2 linked regions of the Alligator mississippiensis genome follow. The protein of the gene in region 1 interacts with the protein of each later gene in a biochemical or structural test. Links are inferred from orthologs where the notes say so. Each region holds a gene or a part of one and is shown in the gene's direction. Other genes may lie near its edges.

The links.
Region 2: the proteins of atrial natriuretic peptide receptor 2 (region 1) and NPPA form a complex in vitro, tested with the Homo sapiens proteins (3 studies listed by BioGRID). The link is inferred for Alligator mississippiensis from reciprocal best matches to the Homo sapiens genes NPR2 and NPPA.

The regions. Positions count from the first base shown.
Region 1 is NC_081826.1:303,063,898-303,067,644, forward strand, and holds the start of atrial natriuretic peptide receptor 2, read left to right. Parts: upstream 1-1,560; 5' UTR 1,561-1,624; coding exon 1,625-2,390; intron 2,391-3,747. UniProt on the Homo sapiens protein: Receptor for the C-type natriuretic peptide NPPC/CNP hormone. Has guanylate cyclase activity upon binding of its ligand. May play a role in the regulation of skeletal growth.
Region 2 is NC_081836.1:12,470,380-12,474,126, reverse strand, and holds the start of NPPA (natriuretic peptides A), read left to right. Parts: upstream 1-824; 5' UTR 825-2,177; coding exon 2,178-2,297; intron 2,298-3,747.

The DNA.
Region 1 (3,747 bases):
GGCCCACGCCAGCCCCTGCTGCTCCCCGGCAGTTGCCCTGGCGCACATGGGGAGGGAGGACAGGCCCCAGCACCAGGAGCCTCGAGCAGCTCGTGGCAGAAAGCAGGACCAGGCAGCTGGCCGGGACTGGTGCCTGTGCTTGGCCAGTGCAGCAAACAGCACTGGGGCCACGGGCTGTCTCCTCCTACCCCGTGCGGCTTGGTCTCACCTGGGCCAGGTGCCAGGACTCCTGGAGTGGGAATCTCCGCCCCCGGGGGTCAGGACCCGATCCAGCGGCTCTGTTCCCAGCAGACCCGTGCTGGGCTCATGCAGGGCCCCTACGTGGGGGTGACTGCAGGGACCTGCTGCTCTACACTACGGTGCACAGCATGGCAGGGACACGGCCGGGCTGCAGCATCCCCTGCCTGTGCCTGATGGCACCTGCCAGCCCCACTAGGATGGTGCACACTCGATGGCACACACCAGCTCCCCAGGCCCACTGGCCTGTGCCAGAGCAGGCATCGAGGGATAGAAATAACCCCCGGGCCTGTGCCACATGTGCCCCCTGAACTGCAGAGTAGGTCCCCCAATGCCCCATGACACACGGCCCCTCTTCCACCCCAGCTCCCCAGCCCCTGCCCCCAGCTCCCCTGGCCTCCTGCCTGCTCCCTGCCCACCATTGCCACCCTGTCCCACACGTCTGGGTCATGGGAACCGTGTGCCACCGGGCCTGTCACGCTGCCCTGGCCCAGCCCAGAACCCCGACACCGGGACGTGTGGCTGCGGCAGGGCCTAGCAGGCAGACGGCGCTGGGGCTCACTGGCGTCTGCTGCTGCTGGTTTTACGAGGGGCCAGCTTTTATGAGGGGCCGGCCGGCACGCCATGCAGCCAGCCCCGCTCCAGCGCCAGCCCCGGCCCCACGGGACCACAGGGCCTGCCCAGGAATGAGAGGAATGCTGCGCGGCGCTCGCGAGGCGGCCGCGCGCAGGTCGGCTGGCGGCTGCGCGGCCCAGGCTGCTGGGCACTGGCCCCAGCTCCGGCCCCCACCAGAGGCTCCTGCTCCCCTGGGGGTCCCAGTGCTTCCTCCCGCGGCAGCAGAGGAAAGGCGGCCAGCAGCAGCCTCCAGCCGGGAGCACCCCAGGCTCTGCCCTGCGGACTCATGGCTCTGCCAGGGAGGGTCAGGCTGGGCTAAGCCCCCAGGGCGGTGCCTGCGGTGGCTCTGGGACTGAACCAGGTCTCCCCGGCGGGGCCGGCGCGGCCCCAGTCCCGGGTGGAAGGAGCAGCCGGAGATCCCCCGCTCGCGCAGGAGCCAAGGGACCGCGGCGTGCAGCTGGCCTCAGCCCCAGGCACCCGCCGCGGACCCGCGTGCCCCGGCCCCGGTGGCACGGGTGGCTCCTGCCCGCGCGCCGCAGCCAGCAGCGGGGACTTGTCCGGCGCGGGCCCCCCGCGAGGGGCGGGGAGGGAGCCCCGCACGCACGCATGGGGCAGCGGCCGGCTCCTCCCCGGGGCGCGGGCGGGCGGGCGGGGCGGAGCGGAGCGGGGCCGGGGCGGGCCCGGGGCGGGGCGGGGGCGGGCGGCAGCCGGCGAAGGCAGCGCAGTCCGGGCCGGGAGCCCAGCCCGCGCCGAGCCCGCTCTGCCCGGCCCCATGGGCGCCCCGCGCCGGCCGCCGCCGCCGCCGCTGCTGGGGCTGGTGCTGGTGCCGGTGCTGGCCGCGCTGTGCGGGGCGGGCCGGGCGCAGCCCGACGGCGCGAACCGCAGCCTGCCCCAGCCCCAGCCCCAGCCCCTGCCCTTGACCCTGACCCTGGGCGCCGTGCTGCCCGAGCGCAACCTGAGCTACGCGTGGGCCTGGCCGCGCGTGGGCCCGGCCGTGAGGCTGGCGCTGGAGGCGCTGCGCCGCGCCGAGCTGCTGCCGCGGGCGCTGACCGTGCGCACCCGCTTCCTCAGCTCCGAGCTGGACGGCATCTGCTCCGAGGACGTGGCGCCGCTGCAGGCCGTGGACCTGCGGCTCTACCACGACCCCGACGTGCTGCTGGGCCCGGGCTGCGTGTACCCCGCGGCCGCCGTGGGCCGCTTCGCCGCGCACTGGCGCCTGCCGCTCGTCACGGCCGGGGCGGTGGCCGCGGGCTTCGGGCAGAAGCGGCTCCAGTACCGCACCACGGTGCGCACCGGCCCGTCCGCGCCGCAGCTCGGCGCCTTCGCGGCGCGGCTCCACGGCGCCTTCAACTGGAGCGCGCGCGCCGCGCTGCTCTACGCCGACCGCAAGACCGACGACCGGCCCTACTACTTCACCATCGAGGGCGTGTACCAGGCGCTGCAGGACGGCGCCAGCCTGGCCGTGCGCTACCACCTCTACGCGCCCGACGACGGCGGCGCCCACAGCGCCGTCGCCTTCATCAAGACCAGCGCCCGCGGTGAGCGCGCGGGGCCGGGGCCGGGGCCGGGGCCGGGGCGGGGGGCGCAAGCGCGACGTCGCGGGGCGCGGACGGTGCGTGCGCGGGGCCCTGGTCGCGGCGCGGCGCCGTGCCGGGCTGAGCCCGCCCCCCGCCCCTGCCTCCCAGCTGGCAGCGCCGGGGGCTCCTGGGACGGGGCGCACAGGCCGGGCCGGGCCGGGCCGAGGGGAGCCGGCAGCTGCCGCGCTGATGGGGCAGGCAGGGATCGGGCCCCGCGGGAGGACCCGCCTGGGCTGCTCCATTATTGATGAGCCGCGCATCGATCCAGCCAGCTGCTGCTCGCTAATGCATCCGGTGCTGTGTCATTAGGGAGGGCCCAGGGCCCCGGAGCCAGCGTGGCTGGTAGAGCCTGGGGGCTGGGCTGTGGGGGGCGGCTGCCCATCCTGGGGCGGGGGCCGGGGCTGGCCACAGGGAGTTGGATGCCCCTGAGCCCCCGCCTCGCCCCACAACACGGGAGCCAAGGCGCCACGGAGGGTCCTGGCGCCAGGCCCGTGCCCCCCAGAGCCGCAGTGCTTGGTCCATGGCAGCCATGTCCTCGCCTGGGGTCTCCGGCCAGCCACGGGCGCTGACACCAGGGCCTTCAGAGCCTGGAGTCCAGGTGGGAGTTGGAAAAGCAGGAAGCTTTCCCCCTCCTCCTCTCCAGGCTGTGGGTGGAGGGGGCAGCTAAGATCCGCTGGCTCTAAAACCAAGTTGGCCCTGGTGACCAGGCACAGCCTGTTTGCTTGGTTGACCGGGGGCCAAGTAAACAGCCGGTCCGCGTTTAGTAAATCAGTTTTAAATGTACGCCATCTCCTGCCCAGCTCCCAGCTGCTCCCCAGCCTGCCCGTGCTGAGCACAAAGCGGTGCTGGGCACAGGGCAGGGACAAGTGTCCTAGTGCATCCCCTGGGCTCGTGGTCCCCAGCCCCCATGTCGGTTTGGATGGGACTGATCCTGCCTCGGGCAGGGGTTGGGCTAGACATATGCCACCCTGGGCTCTGGGGTCCTGTGCTTCTGCAACGTGAGAGCCTGGAAGCACAAACACGGCGCAAGGTTGACACTGCTGGTCTCGGCCAGGGCTTCCCACTTGGTGTCAGTCCTGAATCGTTCTCCATGGCAGGTGCCAAGATCCATCGCTGCCCTCTGGGGCGGGGGCCTGCTATGGTGCGTGGGGATGCTGGGGGCCGTGTGCCATGCCAAAGGCTCAGGCCAGGGTCCAGACACAGTAGGCAGGGTGTTGGTAATCACAGTTGTGGTCAGCTGGAGTCTCAGTCCAGTGGCTAGAGCCGCTGGGAGCCCGGGAGCGCAGAGCAGGGCAGCCAGAGGCAAGCCCAAGATGCC
Region 2 (3,747 bases), on another chromosome or scaffold:
TTTCTGGGTCAAGACCTAGATGAAGACCCTGATATCTGATTTTCAAGAGTACGGGACAGTCCGATGCCCATGAAGTCCACTGCCATGTGTGTCTGAACAGGGAGTAGCATGCTGAGAAATCAGGTTCTAGGTGCCTCATATTAGTCATTTCCCCACCCCAAAAGTGTGTGCGTGTACATTTTGGACCATCATCTCCATGCCCCTTAGTCCCCATCTTCAGAATAGGGATAATAAGAGCTCTTTGCATAGAGGTGTTGTGAAGACAGACACATGGAAGTCCATGAAGCATTCAAAACCTACAGAGCCCAGTGACACAGCAAAGCCCACAAAGCAGCTAATTATTCTGCCTTCGGTGAAGGATTTGAATAGCATGCAATAAATAAAACAGCGTCACCCCAATCAGAAGGAGAGGGCAAAATAGCCAAGAGCTGTTCACCCACCCTGTGCACTGACAGAGGCAGAGGTCCAGTGAAAAAAAAATAGGGTACGATAGTGTAATTAAGAGGCTATCATAGCACCTACGTACAGAGAGCTAAATTGAGGATGCAGAGGAAAGCTTCATTCTGGCATTTTCTAACCTTTGAGCGTTTGACTTACAGCCTTCATAATGCCCTATTCAAGTTGGGGATTTGTGCATGCATACGCACAGTGTTTATATTGTCACACACACTGTATGCGAATGACAAACAGCATATCCTTTTTAATAAACATTTCAGGAAATTCTTTTCAAGCTCTGACTTTTCCTCATTTAAAATGCTGGAGATTCACTCAGACTAGGAAATGCAGTGCCAGCACAGAGTTACTCTTTACCTCCATCTCTAACACAGGAAGCCAGTCATGCAAGATGCAAAGTACATTGTATATTTCATAGTTTAAAATACTCTTGCAAACTGAGACACTGTTACTACCTCTTCTTTTACTCATATAGAGTTGAAAAGTAAGTGCAGATAATTTAGGAATATACAGATTCAGCATAACTCAATCACAATTCTGACTTCTAAAATCAGCTGAATGCTAGAATAGTGAACTCTAACAAAACAGAACCTATTTGTTCTCGCACTGAATACATGCATTTGCGTACACCCCCCTCTAACCCTAACTCCCCCAGACATACACACATTCTCTTAAACCAAATTTTGAAAAACTTCACTCAAATCTCACTCCACAAACATCCACTTTCAAGCCGATGCAACCGTGCGCCGAATTCATTGCACATGTCTCAGGAGCAGTCTCCCCTGAATGTGATTTACTCTACATTTCCTTGAAGTTACTTACAGTCAGACCCTGAAGTCCATGCTTATGGAAAACTCCTATCGACTTAAGTGTGACTAGCGTCCCAATTCTCAAAGGCATGGCAGCTGCCGTTGCTAATAAAGTAATTCTGGAAAGGCTCAGCAACCCTAAAGTGTCCCTCCAAGAGTTATTAGTATTACAATAGCACTGAAGCACTTCAGATCGGGACCCTGCTGTTGTAGGCAGTGTACAAGCAAGTAATGTAAAGACCGTGTAGTGTAGCACGATTGCCTTTAAAACCATGGAGAAGAAAAGAGCCCAGAACCGGAGATTTTCAGTACATGCCGCAGCATGCAGCAGCTGGAGGTTTTCCATATAACAGGGAAGCCTGTGTGACACTTGATCTCCTAGAAGGAAGTTTACCTTCCTCTGTTTCTACCCTCCCTGAAGCTGGTGTCTTTGGTCTCTTCTTTCTCTATATAAGGCATTTCCTTCCCAAAAGCTCCTTATTAAGTGGAATCTAGAGCCATCTCAAAGTTGTTTTCCTATCCCTGTGAATCAGACTATGGGGGTCTCTTGTAACAAAATTGCTAAGAATTTCTAGCTGGACTATGTAATCTCAGTGCCTGGTATCAAGGAGGGGAGGGTGGGGAAAGAGCGACATGAAATCATTGACTTGTGACAGACATTCCTCAGTAGCAGCCACCTCCTAATGACAGCTAATAAAGGGAATCTTCTTTTGACAGAGCTGCATGCCTGCAGTGGGACTGGAATGTACCCCCGATAAACCCCCCGATAACCTAGGAAGCAGGGATCACACCCAAAGAGTATAAAAGAGCAGCCAGAAAGAGGAGCAAACAGAACGAGGGAGTGAGCCATCGAGACCAGAAGGGACCTCTCAGAAGAAGCTCAAACTTGCTCCTATTCCAAGCCAACCCAGCAGGATGGACACAAAAGGTTCATTTCTCTACGGGCTCCTGTTGCTGCTGCTCTTCCAGTTCCAGTCCAACCGAGCCAACCCCATCTACAGCCTCAGCCCTGCCAAAGAACTGGCCAGCATGGAGGTGAGGACTCTGCTTTGTAATATTAGGCTATTAGTGTTAGTGGGGTAGGATGCAGTGTCACCTGTTCTCTTTAGGGCAGCTACTCCATCTGGCATAGATTTACAAGCAGAAATCTGTCTGGGGCACCTCACCATTATGCCCCCTCTGTCAGCTTTAACTCTTCACAAGAGAGGGGTTGCATTCTGCTTGGGGAACCCTGAAATCCTGAGACCTTCCAATTCCTTCAGAGGGATGCTGAGAGCCATCCAGCTGTGGAGTGCCTGCCTCCTCGGCACAAACACCTGCTCTGAGCAGAAGTAGAGGCAAGTCTCCAAGAGGGACTTCTGAAAGGGGTGGCTGCCACTTTCCCAGGGAAGAAAAGAGACTTGGAAATCTCTCACTGAATCACAAGTGCATTAAAGCAGAGAACAGTGAAGCTGTCAGTTTGCATTTACATGGGCAGCATGTGAATATGTGGGCTGGGGTGGGGTGCTGCTGGCACGTGTCTTCCATGGACCTTGCACTGTCTTTAAACAGAGATGCTGTGTGCTCATTCAGAACAGCATCCAGCGCTAAGAGGTTATATTTATACACAGGCTGTATTGCTATATCAGCCTAGGGTTCGGTACAAAATTAAGGCTCAACCTTGCAAGATGCAGTGAGGTTAGCTAGGTGCTTAAAACTAAACATGTACCCAACTACTTTGCTGGATTGGGACCAGAGAGCAGCAGACATGCCTTGATGCTGTTAGAAGACTGGCAAGAGTTAAGCCTAACTGCTTTGCACAATGCCTCCAAGCTTGCTAGGATCTGCCCCTGCAAGCTGCCAAAGGCAGTATATCCAAGCCCTAGGGCATCCAGCCCTAGGATCCAGCTCCCAGCTGATCCGAGCAGTCTTCGTAGGGCAACCTGCTCCTAGGGTAAGTCAAGGCAGTACTGACCAGTTTAAAATTTTCCCTTGAGGGCAGGCTTAAAAAAAATGCCCATTCTACTCGAGGAGGCAGCAGCACTGAGTTGCACTGACTGCAGCTTTGGGGCTTCCTTCAAAAGCTTCCCTATATAAATCGCATTGCAGTAACCCAAAGGTGGCAGAGATGGGATGAACCGGTGTGAGGTCTGCAGAAGAATGCAGAGCTGGCAGCTTCCTGGCTAGCCCAAGCTTAGCACTGCAGGCAGCAGCTTCAGCCAGAGACACTATGAGGAGAGATGGCCCCAGAAATGCCCCACAGCTGTGCACCATTTGGGAGACAGTCAGGTACATCCTTCTGGAGAGGATGCAGACCTGGCTTTCACTCCTTCCCCAATGTACTTCCCCTTTCCTGCAACAAGTGTCACTGCCATCTGTGCCAGCTCCTCTCACCTTTGCTTAGGGCTGCATGTTGCTTTTGTAGTAAGAAAAATCAGACCAGTCTGAGATCTGCTGGTCATTGGTAGCCTGATGGTTCTCCAGTTTGACCCCGCTGCACCCCCAC